Linked DNA regions of Coturnix japonica. The protein of the gene in region 4 interacts with the protein of the main gene of each other region in a biochemical or structural test. Links are inferred from orthologs where the notes say so. Each region holds a gene or a part of one and is shown on either strand. Other genes may lie near its edges.

Region 1 (4,935 bases), on a different chromosome or scaffold from region 4:
ACATCCACCTCTGACTCTTCTAAGTCACACACAAATAAGGACAGGAGGCTTTTCAAATCCTCGTTTTACTCATTTGCCCAACACAAAGTTGCAGGGTTTGCTCTACAAAGGCAGCACGAGGGACCCATCACCCCCTTTCTTCACTCAGCCATCTCATCCCAAAAAGAAATCACCAAAGGAACACACTAATATAAATACAAGATAGAGAGTTCATGGAGGCCCCAGGGATGGGGCAGAGCGCTGTGCCTTAGTCCAGGTCGTTGGCGGTGTCTTCGTCTGTCAGACTCTGTCCATTCACAGCTGGTAAATCGTATTGGCCCTGTGATAGATCCTCGAAATCCTGACTCGTGGTGGGTGAGATGATGTCGGGGCTGGTGTCGCAGGACTCGGTGCTCTGCTCAGAGGTAGCAATGGTGGTTGTCGTGCTCTTCGGAACCGGGTCGAAGTCGTCGTCATCTTCTAGAATAGGAGATTCGTGTATGTCTGGAAAGGAAGAAGTAGATGTTAATAACTGCTGTAGATACAAACAGCAACATGATGCACTGCAAGGCCAGCCACACTCTGGCAGAAGGATTTTAATCAACAATTGTAATCAACAAAATCAGACCCCATTGCATTTGTGGCTTTGTGATTTCCTACACAATACATTGGATTGTTAACACAGCAGCTGCATGCTGGCAGTCCCAAACTCCCCATTGAAGGCACATTCTGAGGAGGGGGAACCTTGACGAAGGAAGAAGAACCTGAGGAAGCACTCACTGCTGAAAGCCTCCGGGTACTGCTTGGCCAGCTTCCCCTTCAGCGCCCTGCAGGAGGAGAGAGCCACGTTCACAGCTGGACACACACACAGACCCCTTCCATCCTTGGGGTCCCTCACACCATCCCCTCCCAGCTCTTCCTACCGGATCCGACGGAAGATGCTGTCGAGATCCTTCTTCATCTCCACCAACGTCTTGGTGTGGTGCAGGAAGCGCTCGTTCATCTGCTGCATTCGGATGCTCGACAGGTTGTTGAAGTTGAGCAGCATCTCGTTCGTCTTCTCAAAACGATCCAACCTGCGGGGGGGGGGCAGCAGTTCCCGGTGTTATATGAGCGCACCGGGGGCTGCCCCCGCTCACGGGACCCCCCCGGGACTCACATGTTCTTCTGAGCCTGGATGATCGCGTTCACATCCTCGGTGTTCACCATGCCCAGCACCCGCCCGCAGAACACCCGCGAGGCCGTGGGCTCCATCGCACCGCTGCCTCTAAGGGATCCCCGGCCCCCGCAGTGCCCGGTAACGGAACCCCCCCCCCCAAACCCGGACTCGGTATCTCCGTCCGTCCCTCGGCAGCACCGGGGCCGCTCCTTTTCCGTCTCCCTTCACATGACGGGAGAGGAACCGGCGGCCGCTCCTCGCTTCCGGGTGCGGGGTCACGTCGAGCGCGACCCCGTGGCGTCACCGCGCGTGTGCGTCACGGCGCCGGGCCGGAAGTGGTGGCGATTGGGTCTAGTGAAGGGACCGGGTCTGTCCCGGTACCGGAAAACGAACCCGGGGCTGTTCTGTGCGATGGACCGACCTCGCAGGGATTGAGAGGTCCGGGAAAGCTCCGTGGGCCTCCAGCACCCACAGTCGTTAGAGGCGGTGCACCGAGAGCTGCCGGGGTGACGGGCGGCGGGGACACCGGCCCGGTTGGGGTTCCGGACCCGCGGAGCAGGTTCGGTGCTGCGGCCCCTTTAAGACCGCGGCGCGCCGTTCTCGACGCGCCGATGAGGAACGTCGGCGTCACCCAATGGCCTGAGGGGGGCGGGAGGCAGCGGCCCAATGGGAGCGCGGGGGCGGGGCCAGCGGGCGCGGGTTGGCGGGTAGGTGGGAGCGGGGGGCGCGCGGCCGTTGCCAGGGGAGTCCCCGCGCGTGGCGGGAACGTGACGGGGGGACCCCCCGGCGGGCGCGCGCGCGGGAGAAAAGCACGTGGTGGAGGAGAGGGGCGCGGGGCGGGGCTTCCAGGGGCCGGAACCGGTGAGTGGGGCCTCCCCGGGCCGGCCCCGGCGGAAGGGCGCTGTGCGAGCCCGAGCCGCTCGGGTGGTGTTAGACGCCTCATCGCGGTGTCCGCAGTTTGCTGTTTGTATCTCCCGCAGGTCGCTACTCTCTCCCTGCTCTGCCGCCATGGCTTCCAGCGGAGAGGAGACGAGCAGCGGCTCCCCCGGCCGGGCGGGCAGCGGCACCGAACCGCCCAGCCCGGAATCGGCCGCAGCCTGCTCCGCTCAGCTGGACAGTATGGAGGATTTCGAGGTTCTGGAGGAGGACGAGGATGATCTGAGCGAGCTGCCGCCGCTGGAGGACGTGGGACGGGCACGGGGACCGCTGCAGGAGGACGCCCAGTCCGCAGAGCAAGGCCCAGGGGAAGCAGCTGAGGACCCCCAGGAGTGGCTCGATGTCTTGGGTGAGAGCAGGGCAGGAGGGCAGCAGGGCATTCCCAAGATGCTTTGGCGACCACGGAGGCTGAGGTTGGGTTGGGAGTGAGGTTCTCCCCTTCCCTACTATGGGCTGACCACCTCTGGCTTCTCTTGGCCCAGGGAGTGGTTTGCTTAAGAAGAAGACACTCGTGCCAGGTCAGGGGGTGGAGAGCCGCCCCCACAAAGGCCAGGAGGTGACTGTCCGTCTGAGGGCCACACTGGACGATGGCACTGTGGTGGAGGAGAACCCCAGCCTCACCTTTACCCTGGGAGACTGTGATGTATTGCAGGTGGGGCTTGGAGGAAGCTGCTCTGATGTGTGCAACTTCACCCTGGGGGGAGACATGGGGTTGGCAATGTCCTTGTTGGAGTCAGGGTTGGTTGCTTTGCTCATCTTCTCCTGCAACATTGCTCCCTGTAGGCTCTGGACCTCTGTGTACAGCTTATGGAGATGAGAGAAACTGCTTTGATTACATCAGATGCCAAGTATTGCTATGGTGCACAGGGCAGGTGAGCATGGAGAGTGTGGAATGGGATAGGGTGGGCCCAAACAGGGCTATGACAACTATCCCCATTCCCCACTACCACGGCCTGATCACAGCTTTGTGCCACTGCAGGAGCCCTGACATCCCACCCAACGCAGCCCTCACGCTGGAGGTCGAGCTGCTGGAGGCTCGGGATGCACCAGACCTGGAGCTGCTCAGTGGGAAGGAAAAGATAGACCTGGCCAACCGCAAGCGGGAGCGAGGTAACTTCTACTACCAGCAGGCAGATTATGTGTTGGCCATCAATTCCTATGACATCGCTCTCAAAGTCATCGGCTCCAGTTCCAAAGGTACCCCTTTCTGCTGTGAGCGAGGGCTGCCTGTGCTTCCTTCCTGTTGTAACTCACCTCTGGGGTCTTTGCAGTTGATTTCACCCCGGATGAGGAGGCTGAGCTGCTGGATGTGAAGGTGAAATGTCTCAACAATCTGGCAGCCTCTCAGCTTAAACTGGACCATTATGAGGCGGCCCTGAAGTCCTGTAACCTTGTTCTGGAGCACCAGCCAGGGAACATCAAGGCACTTTTCCGGAAGGGCAAGGTGAGCTGCTGCCATCCCTGCACTTCAGCAGGGCTGGGGAGGCGCAGGGACCAGACCTCAGTCACCTCCCTCAACCCCCACCTCATCTTCCAGGTCCTGGCCCAGCAGGGCGAGTACAGAGAGGCCATCCCCATCCTAAAGGCAGCTTTGAAGCTGGAGCCTTCAAACAAGGTAGGCTGGGTGTTCTCATGGCTCTGGCCTTGTGGCCGTGTTCCTACAAACCTCAGTGTACCCCATAGCTGTCACCAGTCTCCTTTGTGTGTGGCCAGGGCAGCTGTGGGGTGGTGTACCAAGTGCCAGCACCTGGTGCTGCAATACCTGAACGTGGCTGAGCTCGTGGGTTCCTTATCTCCATGTTGCAAGACTCTCTTTTTGCCCTTTGGCCCTTGTGGTAGCAGGGATCTCTGCCAGCCCATCTCTGCTTCAGCAGCTCTGCCTGCACGGTCTGGCTTCCCTGTGGCTTGTGCCATTGCTGTGAGAAGCGAGGCAGAGCAAGTTCTTGTCATCTCACTCAGCAGTCTGCAGTGTGATTCATTGGGTGGCCCCAGCAAACCCAAGCCTCAGTCCAGCACCCAGGCCGGAGCAATCTCTGGGTCAGGAATTTCCTGTTAGTTAATGATCAGCTGCAGGACTGAAGCCTCAGGGAAGTCAAAAGCCTCAGCAGTGCCAGGAAGTGGCTCCAGCAAAAGCAGGGCTGGGAGCAGCAGGGGAGGTGCTGCCTGCAGTGGGGGCATTGCTCCTTCATTGGCTTCTCGGTTTTATCCGCCTCTTTGTGGCCATTCCACCAAAACATCACAGTTCACCTCGTGTTCCCTGGTGCCTGAAGGTCACGGGCAGCATGAGGCCCTGCAGGTGCTCAATAGCCTTCAGAGCTCCCAGGCACCTTGTGGTGTGAGAGCCCTCATGAGGAAGGGTATATGGGATCTCAAAGTAGCACTTGGGCTGCTTGTAAGAGGTAGAGGAGCAGAACTGGGACTACAGGGATGGGGGATGCTCTCCCTGCTTGTCCTTTGTGTCATTGCTGCTGGCAGGGCTGCAGCTCATCAGCCCATCTGGGTGAAGCTTTTAATTGAAAAGGAGCAAAAATCAAACTGCCTGGCAGTGACGTTACCAATGAAACCACAAACAAATGATTGGCCTTTCCAGCTGCTTGCTGAGATTCGCAGGGATGTGGCAGTGCAGCTTTAAACACACAGTGGTGAGTCACAGCTAAGGCTACCGGTGGTGAGAACAGACTCAAGAAATGATCAGCTCCACCTGCTTTTGGATGAGAAAACCTGGTTGTCTGGTGCTGCCGGCACCTCGTCACTGGTGCAAACCTTCACGTCCCTTTCTAACCCCTTGGAGGTTCACCTTTATGGAGATGCTGTTTGTTCTACATCAAAGCACCAAACCCAGCAAGGTGCTGGGGTGTGTT
Region 2 (5,083 bases), on a different chromosome or scaffold from region 4:
GATCCAAAATACTGCTGTGCCAAGTCCTCAGTTCTCTTCTAGTCAACGGCACAGCTTCAACTGCGAGCAAGGAACGATGAATCCCCTACCTCATGATGCTGAGTTGATAGCTAAGAGCTATGACTGCCTTTTCAAACAAGGAACCTTTCCATAGCAGAGTAACCCTAACACCAGGCTCCCATTAACCTATGGCAGGTTTGGGAGCCACCACAATTGCTTTAAAGACAGCAGCAATCACTATTGCAATCCGCATGGAGCACTGCCTAGTGCACATTACACGTGTTTTCTCTGCACATATCAGATAATACGTCACAGGACTTTGGTTGCAGTTTCATAAGCAAGTTAAGATTTTCCTGCTACTGAAGCTTTAATTTAAGAAATTTAAAAAAGAAAAAATCAGAAAGAATTCAGAACCTGAGTTTCACCAGGAATTCCTCTATCTCTATGAAAACAAAAGCTAAATACGGTCTTTAACTTGGCTAGTTAAATAAGAGAGGATTATTGCCTTATGTTCTTTCCAGTTGCTTGTTCAGGATTATTTGGGAGGCAATGAAGCAGTGCCACAGAGCAGATTCTTGCCATTTTTCAACAGATAACACCTCTCCTTTTACAGCTTTAAAATACAAAACCAGAGGCATCTGAGGATGCAAAATAGAGCCCCTGAAGAAAGGCATGCCAAAAAAATGCACATCTTATAGAGAGAGCATGACATGGAGGAACCGAGACCGACTGGTTACAGCAAACATTCCTTCCCCTTTGCTCACTATTTTGTTTCTTTGCCTCAATAGCAAGCAAAGAATTTAACCCTTTCCACTCACTGCAAGGCAAACCCGGCTGGAGACAAGTGACTCCTATTAAGCAGGAAGCCTTTGGTAAGTGGCTAATTCCAAAAGGGCACATTGGGCCAAATTCTGACCCACTTTATTGATTTTGTTGTTCTTTTAACTGATATTTCACACGCTTGATAAGTTACTGTAAGGAAATGCCACACCGGCAGCCCCGTCATTTAGGATGAAGACCACTGCAATACACGTTACACACACCGCACAGCGTCACAGTGTCACAGTGCGGTGCGGGTTGGCAGGGACCTTAGAGATCACCGAGTCCAACCCCGGGATTGGAGCCTCTGTGCTGCAGAGCGGCACTGCTACCACTTGCGCCACAGGGGGATTCGAACCCAAGGCCTCCAGCGTTGCAAAGTAGCGTCCTTCAGCACTGCGCCCTCAGTGTCACACCCCGCTCCCCCACACACCCATGAAGCCGTACCCCACACACTGTACAGCGCTACCCCCTATTTCCCCACCGCTCTCCCTCAGACCCGCCCACAGCCGCGCCCTGCACGGGCGGGAAAAGCTCATGACCCGCAGCTCCTCCCGCGCATGCGCACGAAGCCCCTCACAGCGCGCAAGCCCCGCTCCCCCCAGCCAGCATGCGCCGCGCATGCGCAGCATAGAGCTCCGTCTCTCCGGTCGGGCAGGTCCCGCCCATGTCGCGCATGCGCGGTCCGTCCAGCCTACTGCGCACGCGCCGTCCCCTCCCATGGCGGCGCCGTCCCCTCCCCGCAGTGTAGTGGGGCCGTGACGTCAGCAGCGGCGGCCATTACACGGGCAGAGCGAGGGTCGGAGCGCTCTGTTCGCTGCCGTGCGTTGGGCGCCGCTCCGCCCGCAGCTCCACGACCCGCTGCTGAGCCGCGACCACCGGGATCGCGTCGTTGGGGCCTTTGGGGGGAGCGGCGGCAGCTGGTGGTGAGGGGGAGGAGGAGGCGGAGGAGGAGGGGGCGAGCGAGCGGCTGCGTGCGGGATGGAGGAGAAGGTGTTCACCAAGGAGCTGGACCAGTGGGTGGAGCAGCTCAACGAGTGCAAGCAGCTGTCCGAGGGGCAGGTGAAGAGCCTGTGCGAGAAGGTGAGGCGCGGCGTGGGGAGCGGAGCGGCGGCACGGGGCGGGGCGGCACCTCCGGGGTTGGGCACACGGGGCTGTGAGCAGGACGGATCGGAGCGGTGCCGGGCAGTGGGTCGGCTCCACACATCGGCTCGGTGGGTCGCTCTGTTGGGCTCCGCTGGGCGCTGCTCGCTCTGCCCGGCGCTGGATGAGCCGCGGCCCCTCGGCGGGCATTGCCGCGGCCTGGCCCCGCCTCCCGCCTTTTCATCGCCTCCTAAAATGGCGCCGCTGCCGGGAGCCGCCGCCACAGAGCACGAGAGCCGCCGCCGGGCCCGGCCCTGCCGCTCCGCCATCCGTGCGGTGCTGTGCGGTGACACGGGGAGGCCGTGTAGGGCAGGGAGCGTAGGGCGCGGTGCGGGGCTCCGAGCTGCTGTGAGCACGGCGGATTATTCAGTTATTCATTTACCATACAAATATAGGATCGCGGTTATTTCTAATTGAAGCGGAATTTTAGATCGACCTGGGGAGTCGGGTTTGTTTTTTGTTTTTTTTTTTTCCAGAATAAAATGGCGCTTAGTGACATAAAGCTCGTGTCGCTGTTTATTGCTACGGTGACTGATGGGGATCCGCGCAGCACAATGATGTGCTGTGTGTGTAGTGTAGGAGCGGCTTCACATCGGCAACTGTGCTCTAGGAATTAAAGGAATAATAGCTGCAGTGGTACCCGGTTGTATTGTCCGGTTACAGTCTGTTTCTGAGCGGAATTAAATCCTCAGCCATCATGAGCCATTATTTTCCCTTCAATTACTGGAGGTTTTATTTGTGTGCACCTTTAGATTGAAGGAATTGCCTTTTTTGGGGGAGGGATCTAGAAATCAATGCGTATGGAGGTTATTGATGCCCTCGGTCCTAAAGAAGGCTGCGTGCCTATCACAGGAGGAAACAGGGGTATTTTAAGGTTGGCACCATGCCTTCAAATAGTACAGCGTGTTGGTTTAGAAGCAGATTGTTTCCAGAGGGTTGTATGTGGACTTAGAATTAACTTGCAGTGCTTTTGGCCATACAGGTTCTTGTTGTGTCCCACATTTCAGTCGCCTCATATTCCAGCAACTCAAAATCAAAGCCGTTAGATATAGTTTGTGTGTTTAACGTGGTGTTCCAAGCAAGTAGCAGGTTAGGGATTGTTTCCCTTGTGTGTCTTTAGTGCCAGCACTCTGACTTTTTCCTCGTGTCCCATTTGCCATCACTGATGTGCTGATGGAAGGGCTGAATCCTGGCTGGGTATTTCTAATGTGGTTGTATGGCAATCTGTAAAAACCCGAGGAATAAATGAAATTCTTTGCATTTAGTGGATGCTGTGGATAGGTGAGCAGTAGACATGCCAATAGAAACCGCACAAAAGGCACCATAGTCCTGTTCATAATCTGTGCGAGGATGGAGGTGTCTTCATTTTTTCCTAATGAAGAATTGAATTAGTCTATTTCTGGCTGAGCGTGTAATGTTCATCACCAGAATAGATTCATGACACTAGGAAAGAAAAAGCTGTTCTAACCTGAAACGATTCTGATAGGTTCAAGGCAAGGAATCACGAGGCAGGTGGGCTCTGTAGGAGCAGCAGACTCTGTTGGAGAGGCTGGAGGAATGATAGGTGATGAGCTGCAGGAATTGTTTGGATGAAGGAGTTGAATTAGGTTACAGAAAGCTGCCTGTTCGACTGCTGCATTGAGATGAAAGGCTGCAAGGACAGGAGAGAGGCTGATGTGAGAATACCACTGAGCAGCAGGGATGGTTTGCCACAAGTTGGAGCCAGCTCCAGACCAAAGGTGGAATGTCTTTGGGCAGCATGACACTGTGCTTGAGATAAAGCTCCCTCTCTATTACTCGGTTGAGGTCAACACTTTGTGAGGTACATCCAGGCTGTTTGTATTAAGGGTGATAACTACTGGTGGATTTACCAGCCCCTGTTAGTGGTAGGTGAGATGCTGTGTCAAGCTTTCCATTGTCCTGTCCCCCCCATGGGTTGCTGTGTTCCCAAAGCAGGGCATTAGTTGAATTCTGTGCCTGTCTGCAGAGGTTCCTCATTTATCCTGTTCCCAGGCTTCCAGCACCAGCTCTCTGCAGTACTGAATTATGATTCGTGTTTTGATTATTGTCTGCAATCACACCCAAAGGTTATGATTTTCCATAGAGAGCTTAGATGTTAAGGGTGGTGTCAAACATAGTCACTGTTTCAAATGATGGGTGCAGACCCTATCTGACAGAAGCTGTCATTCCTCACTGCTCTGAGCTGTAGCTACGATAGAAAAAAGTAATCCCTCTTGTGAAGGCTTTTCCCCATAACATGCTGTTTATTAGGTGATCTTCTGACTGGTATTTCTGGATCTTCTGAGGCTTCGTGTGTGTCTAGTAAGACGAAGCCTGAGGGCTCTGTTGTGTTTCAGTATTGATAGCAGAAGAACACAACAGCTATTTGCAGACACAGTGCAGTGCAGCACAGTAACTCAGTGTGGCCATTCATGCATCGCAGTTACTCTCAGTGCATCCTGTGTTGTGCCTTATTACCTTGGTGATGGTACCTGGTAGAAATGTCTTCTAGAGCCAGGAATAATTTGTAGCCACAAATAATAGCGACTTTCACAGACCTGAAAAAAGTCTGAGTGACAATTAGAAGAATTTAATGTGAATATTTTCTATTAATTTTGCTACACCAGTGACAGGTTTTATGTGCTTTAAGTATTTCTTAACTGTTAGCTTTGAAGAGTTGTTATAAATATGTGCCTTACTCAAGTATATGGCATTTATAATATTGGCCACATTTGTCCTGCTGAGGCTGAACTGTTCGCTGTCTGCTGTCTGTGTACAGGAGAAAGGAAGTCCTTTATGGCCAGGTGAGGTTATTTTCCACTGCCCACTTAGAACAAGGCTGCTGTTCTTTCCCATCCTTTGTGGGAAATGGTCTCGATGGGGCTGTTGTGATGTGCAGCTCAGGAAAGGTGGGCTGGCGATCCGGAATGGAACACAGGGATGAGCAGAGCTGGTGGATGCAATCCCCATTGGTTATTACAGATTGTATCTCCCTCTGTGTGGAGATGTCTGGGAATGTCTTACTGGGAAGAGCTGGGCCGAGTGGGTTTGAACACAGCACCCAGTTTCCTGAGGTTTTACTGCTGACTGCATGGATGGTGCTGCCATCTAGAAATGCCTT
Region 3 (5,161 bases), on a different chromosome or scaffold from region 4:
AATAGCACGAGAACCAAGGACACCTCTAGAAAAAGGAAGAACGGCTCATGGCTCAGATTGGATAAATGCCCGCATGAATGGTTGAAGAGTGTTTGTGGAATGCTCCGTCAGCATGTAAAGGTGGGCAGGAAGGTTGTAGGGGTGAGTGGGAAAGCTAGGAAGAGGAAACCTGTGAAGGTATGTAAATGATGTGAGAACTTGTAATAAACGGTTCAGATCGTTCACATCTGAGTCTGTGCATCAGACACTGCACCAGGCAGGAAGAACTCCAGTAATCTGAACTGGAATTCAGGAGGTGCAACTACGCACCCTTACACAACGCAAATACAGCTGCATACCAAAGCAGAGCTCAGCTAGAGAAGCAAGCGCGTGGCCACACCTGACTTTCTGTGCTACATCTTCTGAAGGAGATGGGGATTCTGCACATCTCTGAACACTGATTGAAGAGGTAGCAACAAATGTCACCAGCCGTGGCCTTTTTATTGCTGCACCCTTGAAAGAACACTGTTCAGGAGCAAGATGTGGTGTGCAGAGGTGACACCTGCCTGGGCTGTGAGCTTAGTGCAGCTCCTCTGGAGCCAACAAGGGGAATTCTACATTACAGCAGCACATTGCCCTACTCTGGGTGCTGCAGCAGCTTCCTCTGTCCGGAAACAAAATGAGGATGCCATGAAACGAAAGAGAAACTAAGTACAAGGGAAGGATTTTCCCGTACAGAATGAATAAAGATTGCGGCTGCTTTCCTGTACTGACTGTAACAATCTGTCTTATGATTTCTTCACAGGGAGGCGGCTGCCTTCCTTGAAAAAATGGCGATCCAAAGAAAATTTGATCTTTGACTCAGATTCGACGTTATGGTCTCTTGATAAGTTATTTTGCTACTCAGAAAAACACACAGAGGAGCTGTATTGTCATCAAAAACTTCTTTTCAGTGTTGGAAGAAACCTTCCACACAACATACATCATACCTCAGTATTTCTGTACTATACATTTGTATTAATTATCTAATGGTATACTAAATTATGTTCCCCTCTGTAATTCAAGAAGTGTTTCCTGTACCATCAGAAAAGAGAGTGCTTTCTCTTCTGCTTAATATGAACTATTTCCATCATGTTTTGAGCATTTTTTCATGCTACTCTTTGAGCCTAAAGAAGTAGCATTCACTTAACAGGTCTGTGAAACACTCCTCTCATACAAAGGGGTACGCATATTTTATATATATGTAATATATATCTATGCAAATATATACATATATATAATATATAGACTATAACTATGCAATATCACATTAATTCACAGAATTGCATTTTTTTTTTATCCCCAAAGCCACTTGCTACAACAAATAACCTTTATATTAAAGCAGTGGTTTTAATGAACAAATGAGATATCCCCAACACCACCACTTCCCCATCCAGCAGAATCCGAGCTGTAGAAGATAAGGGCAGTCAGAACCTGAACGCCGGCTTTCACCTTGTTGACTCATGCCCACGTTCCACAACTTCTTTCTTTGCTTCGGAACCTTTCTGTCCGCAGTTCCTGGCTGGGATGTGGGATGCGAAGGCAACAGGGGAGGTGGGGTTGTCACAGGGTTCCCCAGCCCCAAGAAGAACAAGTTCCAACCTGCCCCTCACTACGTAGCGAGGGGCCGGTGCTCATTGCCTCCATTTTTTCCCCCAACTTAGCATCCATAAAGCAATAACGTTGTAACACTTCCCAAAGAAATCACATGGTGACAGCCATCCCTCGGCGTCTGCAGGTAGCAAAACACAAATCAAAGAGCTTTTTTTTTTTTTCCCCTCCATCTCCCAGTGTAAGTGAAATCTCTCGTTCCAGATCTGCAAAGTCGAAATCTTCCCCCTTTCTTTCTCAGCGCTGCGGGGGCGGCGGATCACGTCTTGGGGCAGAAGAGTTTAGTGATGAGGTTCAGGATCTTCTGCCTGAGGTCCGCCTTGTCGCCGATCCTGCGCAGCTCCACGGCGCACTCAGCCACCGCGTCCCTCTCTGCAAGGCACGCGCAGGGAGGTGGGGATTTAATTCGAGCGAGGTCTATTCCAGGTAGCGGCACAGGGGAAAGCAAGAAGAATATCAAGTAGAAAAAGGAAGAGGAAAAAGGAAAAGCGTGTTTTTTTCCAGCATCAAACTCTCCCCCGCAATAAAAACACCTGAGACCTGTCTCCTTTCTCCTCGCCCTACCTGCAGGCTCGGCGGGTGGAGCAGGTTTGCGTATCGTCCTGCCGGGCATCATCGCGGCAACAGCTCGGCTCGGTTCGGCTCGGCGCAGTCCGGATCCACACGGCTCGGCGGCGGCGGGACACTGCGGGCAGGCGGGGCGATGCGCGCCCTAAAAGCGGAGCGCGGCGGGGTTTTCCCTCGTAGTGACGTCAGGAACAGTGCGGGAATCCCTCCCCCACCGTGGCGGGAGCGTGTCGGAGCGAGCCCGGACCGGTGGAGGAACGCAGAAATAAAGCGGGGTGCGGGGCGTGATGAGGGGGAGGGGATGGGTGTGCGGGATGGGGGGGTGTACTTGTGTTAAAACAGTGTAAGGATGCGCAGTGTATGGGAGGTAGAAGGATGCTGACCTACACCTGCAGCTCAGGGTTCTACCCTGCTGCTGGACCCGCACGCAGTGCCCAGGCAGCTCTGGCAGCTCACCTGCAAGTCCAGGTTGTGCTACACGGAAGCAAAGCTGAAATTGCCGCATGGCCCTCGTGACTTTTGTGATCGTAGCATAGTTTTGGGAGAGCTGCCAGAGCTCCGCCAGTGAGTCATCTGTCTGCAGGAAAGTTTGGTGTGATGGCTGTTTGTGTTTACCTGAAAACGAAAACAGGTGGACAGAAAGAGAGCAAGAAGGGTCAGACGTAACAAAGAGCTGATCTGAGGCTGGGTGCAATGTATACCCACCTTTCCCATTGCAACGCAGCTACAAGCAGGAAAAGACACTGCAATTGGGAGGTCAGGAAGTGCTTTCCTGTGGGATCAGAGCCTCTGGGACAAGTGTCTACAAAGCTGATTGCTGTCTGTTGGAAGAGGAAACTTCACCAGCTCAGTTCAGAGCTCCTTTTCCCTGCGTGTCTCAGGGTGCCTTGCTGGAATCCACAGCCGGGTGTGGATATTGCACAGCTGAGGCTGCAGCACAGTGAGGTGCACCGGGCAGGCACTGTGTCAGGGCCCTCTGGCACTTTCTTTTATCTGTCCTCGTCTCTCAGCTTATGATATAATACCTACATGGTATACAGGCTTATTGGCTAGATGTGATGTTTTTAGGGTCATTTCACATCCATACCAGCACATGTGTTTGTAATGCAGGCCCATACTGAGAAAGGTGCCCTTTGGCCTTTGATTCCTGTTATGGGAGAAACTCTCTCTCCAAACAGGTCTGTTGGGTTTAGGTGGCAGGGAGGCAGCAAATAGCCCTGGGGTGCATTGTCCATGTGGCGGGTGTCCCTTGGCTGCCCACAAGTGTGCACTGCCCACAACCCCATGAACAGCAGTGCTCAGCAGCTTCAGCAGGGAACAGGGACACATCAGCCCTCTTGTTGTCCTCCCCACAGAACAAAAACTGAGGAGAAGGAACGGAGGAGCAAAGCATGAGAAAGGAGAATTGCTGCAAGCATTTATTTAGCTCATTTAAGTGGAGCCAGAAACAATTTGAGAGAGATCTACTACTCAGGCATAAAAACCAGTGCCCCTCAATCTTGATATATCATAGGATCACTGAATTAATTGAACAGAATGGGACCTCAAATCTGCCCCAGCCTCAACCCAGCCCCTGCCATGGGCTGGCTGTCCCCACTAGTTCAGGCTGCTCAGGGCCTCATCCAACCCAGCTCTGAGCACCTCCAGGGATGGGGCACCACAGCTGCTCTGGAAAGTCTGTGCCAGGACCTCACTGACCTGAGTCAAGAATTTCTCCCTAATATCTACTCTAAATCTAAAATCTCCCCTCTTTTAGTTTTAAGGAGGACCTTGTCCTATCAACTGTCAGACTGCATAAAAAGTCTTCTGCTTATAATCTCCCTTCAAGTACTGTCAGGTCGCAGCGAGATGTCCCTGCAGTCTACTCTTCTCCAGGCTGTCAAGATCAGCTCTCTCAGCCTTTCTTCATAGAACAGCTGCTCCATCCTCTGAGCATCTGCCCAGCTTAGAAAGACTCCCTTGCCAAAACGGGGAACAGCCTTTAAAGGTAGCTCATCCTACTGCCCCTGCAGCAGCACCAAGAGACGGTCTCTCTTCTTTTGGAGATACTTCCACCTGCCAGGGCAGCAGTGCACAGATCAGTGGACTAGCTGATTGGCAAGGTTCATTTATTTCTTTTTGTTACTTGAGAACAGTTGTAGGGCAAAAAGAAGAATGGGAGTCTTCAGTGTGCAAATTGGGTTTACGGGCCAGGGCACCTGCAGTGCTCACCTCTGCATGCCCTGCTGCTGCAGCCCTCCTATGTGCAGGGCAGAGAGCCCACTGCCACAGGAGGAGCTTGCTGGATGCTGGTGGGCAATGAGGCTGTGGCTGTGGGGCCACTCTTTGCCTTGCTCAATGTGGCAGGGTGAAAAATAACCTGCTGTGGTTACAGGCTGCCAGTGAGCTCTGACACTGTTGGTTTCAGTTCCTCTAAACAAAGCAGCATGGCTGTGGGAAGAGCAGCACCCCAGGAGGCTGCTCCTTAGAGTGGTCTTGAAAGCTGTGGGGCCATGGGCATAGCCTGGGGGAAAATGGGTAGGAACAGAGTTAAGCAGCCCTGGACCTCAGAGCCATTTTTCTGTTTATCAGCATCTGAAGATTGAGGGATTATGTGGCTGGGAAGGGAGAATCCCGAGATGCTGTACACGGAGCCATGCTGGTGTCAGGCACTGCGGTCTGAGCAGCGCTGGAGATCAAGAGCAGCGCGTGACCAACCTGCAGCGTGACTAATGCCAGCGGGCAGATGTGATGAAAGGAAAACGAATGTTACAGAAACAAAAACAAGAGCAGAACTGAAAGGAAAGCGAACGTTTTTTTGTTTTTGTTTTTTCTCTGAATTCTGATGCTTCTGCTGAATCAGCTTCAAGCACCACATCTCTATAAAATTAAATAAATCATTGCTGCTGTTTGGTTATGAGAATCTCTCGCTATTGAGTCCTGCTGCCCGGTGCTGGCGGCTCTGAGCTCACTGATGGGCTGTGTG
Region 4 (4,429 bases):
ACAAAGACTAGCTTGTGAAATGAAACATCAGCTCGATAGCAGCCAATTCCAGTTTTGAAATCAGCTTCAGACACGTTCAGCTTCGCAGCTGAAAAAAAAAAAACAAAGCCCACACTCGATCCACAATACTTGGTTGCTCCCAATTCAAATATTTCTCATATGAATCCTGCACACATATGCCCACTTCTGACAGAAGCTCCAAAAACACTGCAGGTGCATCTGATTCTATGACATTTTTTCTTTTCTTTAAAATCGATCCTAGTTTTAGTCCCACTTCTGTGATCTTTGAAACACCTCCTTTGTATGTTTCTATGAAATTACAAGTAATTTCAAAGTGGAAAGGTAAGCTCGTTCCATCTTTGCTCACACAAAGTGTAGGTGCCATGACTAAATAGCAGTAAAAATGCTGAGATGTACAACTCTTAAAACAAACAAACAAACAAAAAAAAGCAGCTTTGAAGACACAACATCAACTACAGCCTTAACATTGAACATCTTACATTCCCAAGTTAATGGAGATATTTTGCATATAATGCCACAAAGTTATCCATCTGAAATTCTGAGGTTGAATCTACAGTTTATTCACTGTATTTTATTTTACTTTTTTCACCCCTTATTAGCACTTCTGCGCTGTACGGTACATTACATTCAGAGCTTTAAAACCTTTTCTTTCTATCTCTGAATGTCCATTTACCCACAAATCCCGGGTTTCAAAAGTTTCGTAGAAAAAATAGGAGCGTTTGATTGAAGATGGCGATGTCCATTCAACAGAGCAGTCCATGCAACACACTGGGATTCTTCTGCTTCGTCAGCAATTCCGGCCCCCTCCGAGCACATGGAAAGCCCTGCTTTGACATACATCAACACACCTGGTCTTAGGACACAGGTCTGCTTATAAAAGTGTATACTGAGTATTCTGCATTAACTGTACTTGCGTTGCATTTCTAACAGGGGCAGATGGCTTCACCCTCCCCTTTTTCCTCCACCCTGTTTTCGCTTGAAATGACAGTAGGCACCTGTGAGATCGAGGTGTCAGAGAGTCTCTGTCCAGATAGAGGAGTTTCTTCTTCATCTTTTCTTCAGTAGACAGTCTTAGGAAATTATTAGCATGAAATAATTTTGAGGGCAAGGGGCAGGAGGATAAAGCTCACTTTCTTTCTGTGTTATGAAAATGAACTTGATTTTGGTGTCTGGTTTGAGAAACGAGGATAGTCAGAGCTAATTTGTAACTCAGCTGAGGTCTGTTTCTTGCCAAATAGAATTAAAATCTTTTTCAACTTTCAGGGATTTGGAGACCACATTTAATTGGTTTCAAACCCCCAGAGGAACTCTGTAAGTAAACAGGATTAGTTGCAGATATGAGCCCTAAAGTGGGACGCAGGTCAGGTCTTCAGACTCCAGCTCTGCTCTGTAGAAGCAGGCACTTAAGGTCTCCTGATGTTTCTGTGTCAGTAGCCGTGAAAACTTTTTACTGCTGAGAAAATCATTGGAACAGTAATTTCCTGCAAGCCCCAAAGATTAAACTTCACACATCCATAAAGAAAAGCATTTGAGCTGACACATAGTAGGGTATAGGATGATGCTATCATGACTATGATGCGATGGCACGACTGGTAACTTGAAAACGCATGTCTACAAGGCAGAGGCAATTGCATTTCAAGCTGTAGGGATAGCCAAGTGTCCTTCAAGAAGTCACCATTTTGACTGCATGCGTGTACCATGTTGAGCTCGCAGGCAGGACGGGATTAGAACTTTGTTCACATTGACCTTTTCTTTCAGAGCCCTCTCGGCCATCCCAAAAATTGCAAGGAGATCTATACAATTACACAGCCGTTAGCAGCTCAAGTAACTGCCTTCCTAAGTGTAAGCAGGTAGGTCTTTGTCAGTATACTTGCTCTTTCCAGATAAAATGATCCAGACAACTGCATCAATTAAAAAAAAAAGAACCTAAAATGCTTTGGGGCTCTTTAAAGTTAAGAATAACAACATGATGTGATGACAGATACAACTTGCAGAGTTTCTGAAAATAGCAGGTTAAAATGTAAATATATTTTAATAAATAATTTTCCTGCAATGTAAAAATAAATGATATTTCCTTTGGCAGTAATAGCTGATTTAATCTTTAGCCAGGAAGTTGTTTTGCTCATAAAATACCATTGTGCTACAGAAAAAAAATATTATTTTGCTGTTTTGAAAGACTTTTGTAATCCACGATAAACTGGGTGACTCTACTTGTGTCCAAGATAAGCGCCAAGAGTGATGCAAGCTCCCACCAGAACCAGGCTCAGGATGGTCTTCAGAGAGATCCAGGAGAAATCGAACAAAGGCCTCATACTGTTGCCGTACAATTCCACGAAGGCATCCTAGAAAGGGAAATAAAGGAACATCAGAATCACAGTAACTCTTGAAGGGAGGTAGGAGAGCTTCTTCACATGTAGTGGTCATTCAGCAATCACTTCGGTAGAAAAAAACCCCACAACACATCAACGTATGAAAACAGTGATTTGGGAGCTATGTTTTTGTGCAGTGCTTAGCACAAAGTTCTCCTGCCTATTTCTTCACAAACATTGCTGTAATTACTTACAGTCTGTTTTAGGCATGGCCTGTCCAACAGCAAATACAGTAACGGCATTTTTTAAACAGGAGCTAACTCCCTTGTGGCTCCCTTTTGTGTATATACAAAAACACATGAAGGATGGAATGGAAGAGATTGGAACTTCATTCTCCAAACCTTTTGCTTCCACTGGACAAAGGACATCTATTTTGTTGACTAATATTTATTGTGTTCCTTAGGGATAGGGTTCAGAAGACTCCACACAGCCATCATTGAGATGTTTCTTCTGTGTGAGTTGAAGCTGTTAGGGTGCAGTTCTGTGTTACGCTATTGCTGGCCTTTTATGACTGTCACCAAAAGGGCTGACACCTCAGCCCCGTGTTCCTGATAGCCATTCCTCTGATATAGCAGTGGTCTGTTTTTGTGCTCCACAAATACAATGGGATTTTGACTGGGCTAGTGATCAGATCGGTAACACTCTGTGCTTAATGTGTTTCTTTCAAGCTGCCTGCCATTCTTTACAAACATGAAACCTGAGAACACTCAGAGAGGTAAACCACACTGTGCTGCATGAAAGCAACGAATAATGAAGCTGAATGGCTTAAAAAAATAAAAAGGGGGGGGGGGGGGGAGGGTGTAGAAAAAATAGCAGAGTTTAGGACAACTCTATCTTGTGCAACCAATTAAGGTCTGCACCCAAACCACAGAGATAAACCCATCAGACAGATATCCATTGTGGGGTTTACATCATTCTCTATTATCCTAGGCTTCCAAATTTTTGTAAAAGCAAACATTCTCTACTTATGTTATGTTGCCTTTAGACATTTTGCAATGTTACTATGCTAGGCGGTAACCTGCCTTCTGAAAATGCATACATGTCACGGATCACAGCAAGAACAAAGAGTAACAGGTCTCTGCCCTTCATAGAAACCTTTCAGCCAGATGCATTTCCCATAAATCACACATTAAATAGCCTTCCTCATTAGCCCATTCTAGATATTGTTAAAATAAGTGCATTTATGGTTATACCACGAGAGGGCGTGTAAGGGTTTTTTATATCGTGCCATTTTGACTCCTGTTCACTAGACCAAGCGAGATGCAAATAAATAAAACATTTGTAATCTCCAAATGTGTTTTTATATTAAGTAATATTGGCTCGTGTTGTAGGTAAGAGTGAATGTGTCAGTAACAGAATAGCTAAGGGGTTTGCCCAACAGGTTGACCCAAATTGTCTTCCTCCTGATATTTCTCAATGCTTCTTCCTCCAGGCAATCATTTTCAAACTTGAGTATCCAAGACTATATTCTTAAGTGAAGGCAGTTTAACCTTTGGGGCCAATGTCTTAACGCAAATTGTTCTTCCCTGAGAAAATTCAGCAACTTTTGCATAGCTGTGTTGTGTTTGAAATAGACATTGCCAAACCTTGGCCTCAATATTCTTCTGTGCTGATGAAGAGCCGAGAAGTACAGAGTTTGCTGAGCAGTTCTTTGGACAGCTTTCTTTATTTCTCCTTAAGGCTATGAAGTAACACAATATCCTAAAATGTTACAGACTGGGCTAAATCCTGTTGCCGCCACTGCAGACTCACTGACTTCCATGGGAGCTTTGTCTGGATAGGGAGTTCACGATCATGCCTTATAAAAATACAAGAAGGGTGAAGTTCAAAACTTGCTGATATTATAATAGGTGGAAAACACAGGAAACGAAAAAAAAAAAAATACCATGGAAATGCAAGTCGTGAAAATATCTTAATGTTACATTTCCATGGTTTCTTTCTGTGGGCTGAGTCTCACTTCTGTATAGTTATGACAGCCAATGCACACCCAGTATCAATTGCAAAATGAGCATATTTTGTGCCTTCTTTCTACCCACGCT

The links.
Region 1: the proteins of BCL2 (region 4) and FKBP8 form a complex in vitro, tested with the Homo sapiens proteins (4 studies listed by BioGRID, with this or other methods). The link is inferred for Coturnix japonica from reciprocal best matches to the Homo sapiens genes BCL2 and FKBP8.
Region 2: of the proteins of BCL2 (region 4) and PPP2CA, one has a biochemical effect on the other in vitro, tested with the Homo sapiens proteins (2 studies listed by BioGRID, with this or other methods). The link is inferred for Coturnix japonica from reciprocal best matches to the Homo sapiens genes BCL2 and PPP2CA.
Region 3: the proteins of BCL2 (region 4) and PMAIP1 interact in a biophysical measurement, tested with the Homo sapiens proteins (2 studies listed by BioGRID and IntAct, with this or other methods). The link is inferred for Coturnix japonica from reciprocal best matches to the Homo sapiens genes BCL2 and PMAIP1.

What each region holds. Positions count from the first base shown.
Region 1 is NC_029543.1:2,932,260-2,937,194, forward strand, and holds the start of FKBP8 (peptidyl-prolyl cis-trans isomerase FKBP8), read left to right. Parts: upstream 1-1,798; 5' UTR 1,799-1,804; coding exon 1,805-1,845; intron 1,846-1,883; exon of another isoform or gene 1,884-1,999; intron 2,000-2,118; coding exon 2,119-2,423; intron 2,424-2,556; coding exon 2,557-2,726; intron 2,727-2,857; coding exon 2,858-2,946; intron 2,947-3,053; coding exon 3,054-3,271; intron 3,272-3,345; coding exon 3,346-3,518; intron 3,519-3,611; coding exon 3,612-3,689; intron 3,690-4,935. Other genes in the region: KXD1 (kxDL motif-containing protein 1), read right to left, coding at 248-483, 760-806, 903-1,055, 1,139-1,233. UniProt on the Homo sapiens protein: Constitutively inactive PPiase, which becomes active when bound to calmodulin and calcium. Seems to act as a chaperone for BCL2, targets it to the mitochondria and modulates its phosphorylation state.
Region 2 is NC_029528.1:2,280,537-2,285,619, reverse strand, and holds the start of PPP2CA (serine/threonine-protein phosphatase 2A catalytic subunit alpha isoform), read left to right. Parts: upstream 1-1,582; 5' UTR 1,583-1,800; coding exon 1,801-1,902; intron 1,903-5,083. UniProt on the Homo sapiens protein: Catalytic subunit of protein phosphatase 2A (PP2A), a serine/threonine phosphatase involved in the regulation of a wide variety of enzymes, signal transduction pathways, and cellular events.
Region 3 is NC_029547.1:8,679,293-8,684,453, reverse strand, and holds the start of PMAIP1 (phorbol-12-myristate-13-acetate-induced protein 1), read right to left. Parts: upstream 3,512-5,161; 5' UTR 2,246-3,511; coding exon 2,194-2,245; intron 2,047-2,193; coding exon 1,889-2,046; 3' UTR 1-1,888. UniProt on the Homo sapiens protein: Promotes activation of caspases and apoptosis. Promotes mitochondrial membrane changes and efflux of apoptogenic proteins from the mitochondria. Contributes to p53/TP53-dependent apoptosis after radiation exposure. Promotes proteasomal degradation of MCL1.
Region 4 is NC_029517.1:62,996,287-63,000,715, forward strand, and holds part of BCL2 (apoptosis regulator Bcl-2), read right to left. Parts: intron 2,364-4,429; coding exon 2,229-2,363; 3' UTR 1-2,228. UniProt on the Homo sapiens protein: Suppresses apoptosis in a variety of cell systems including factor-dependent lymphohematopoietic and neural cells. Regulates cell death by controlling the mitochondrial membrane permeability. Appears to function in a feedback loop system with caspases.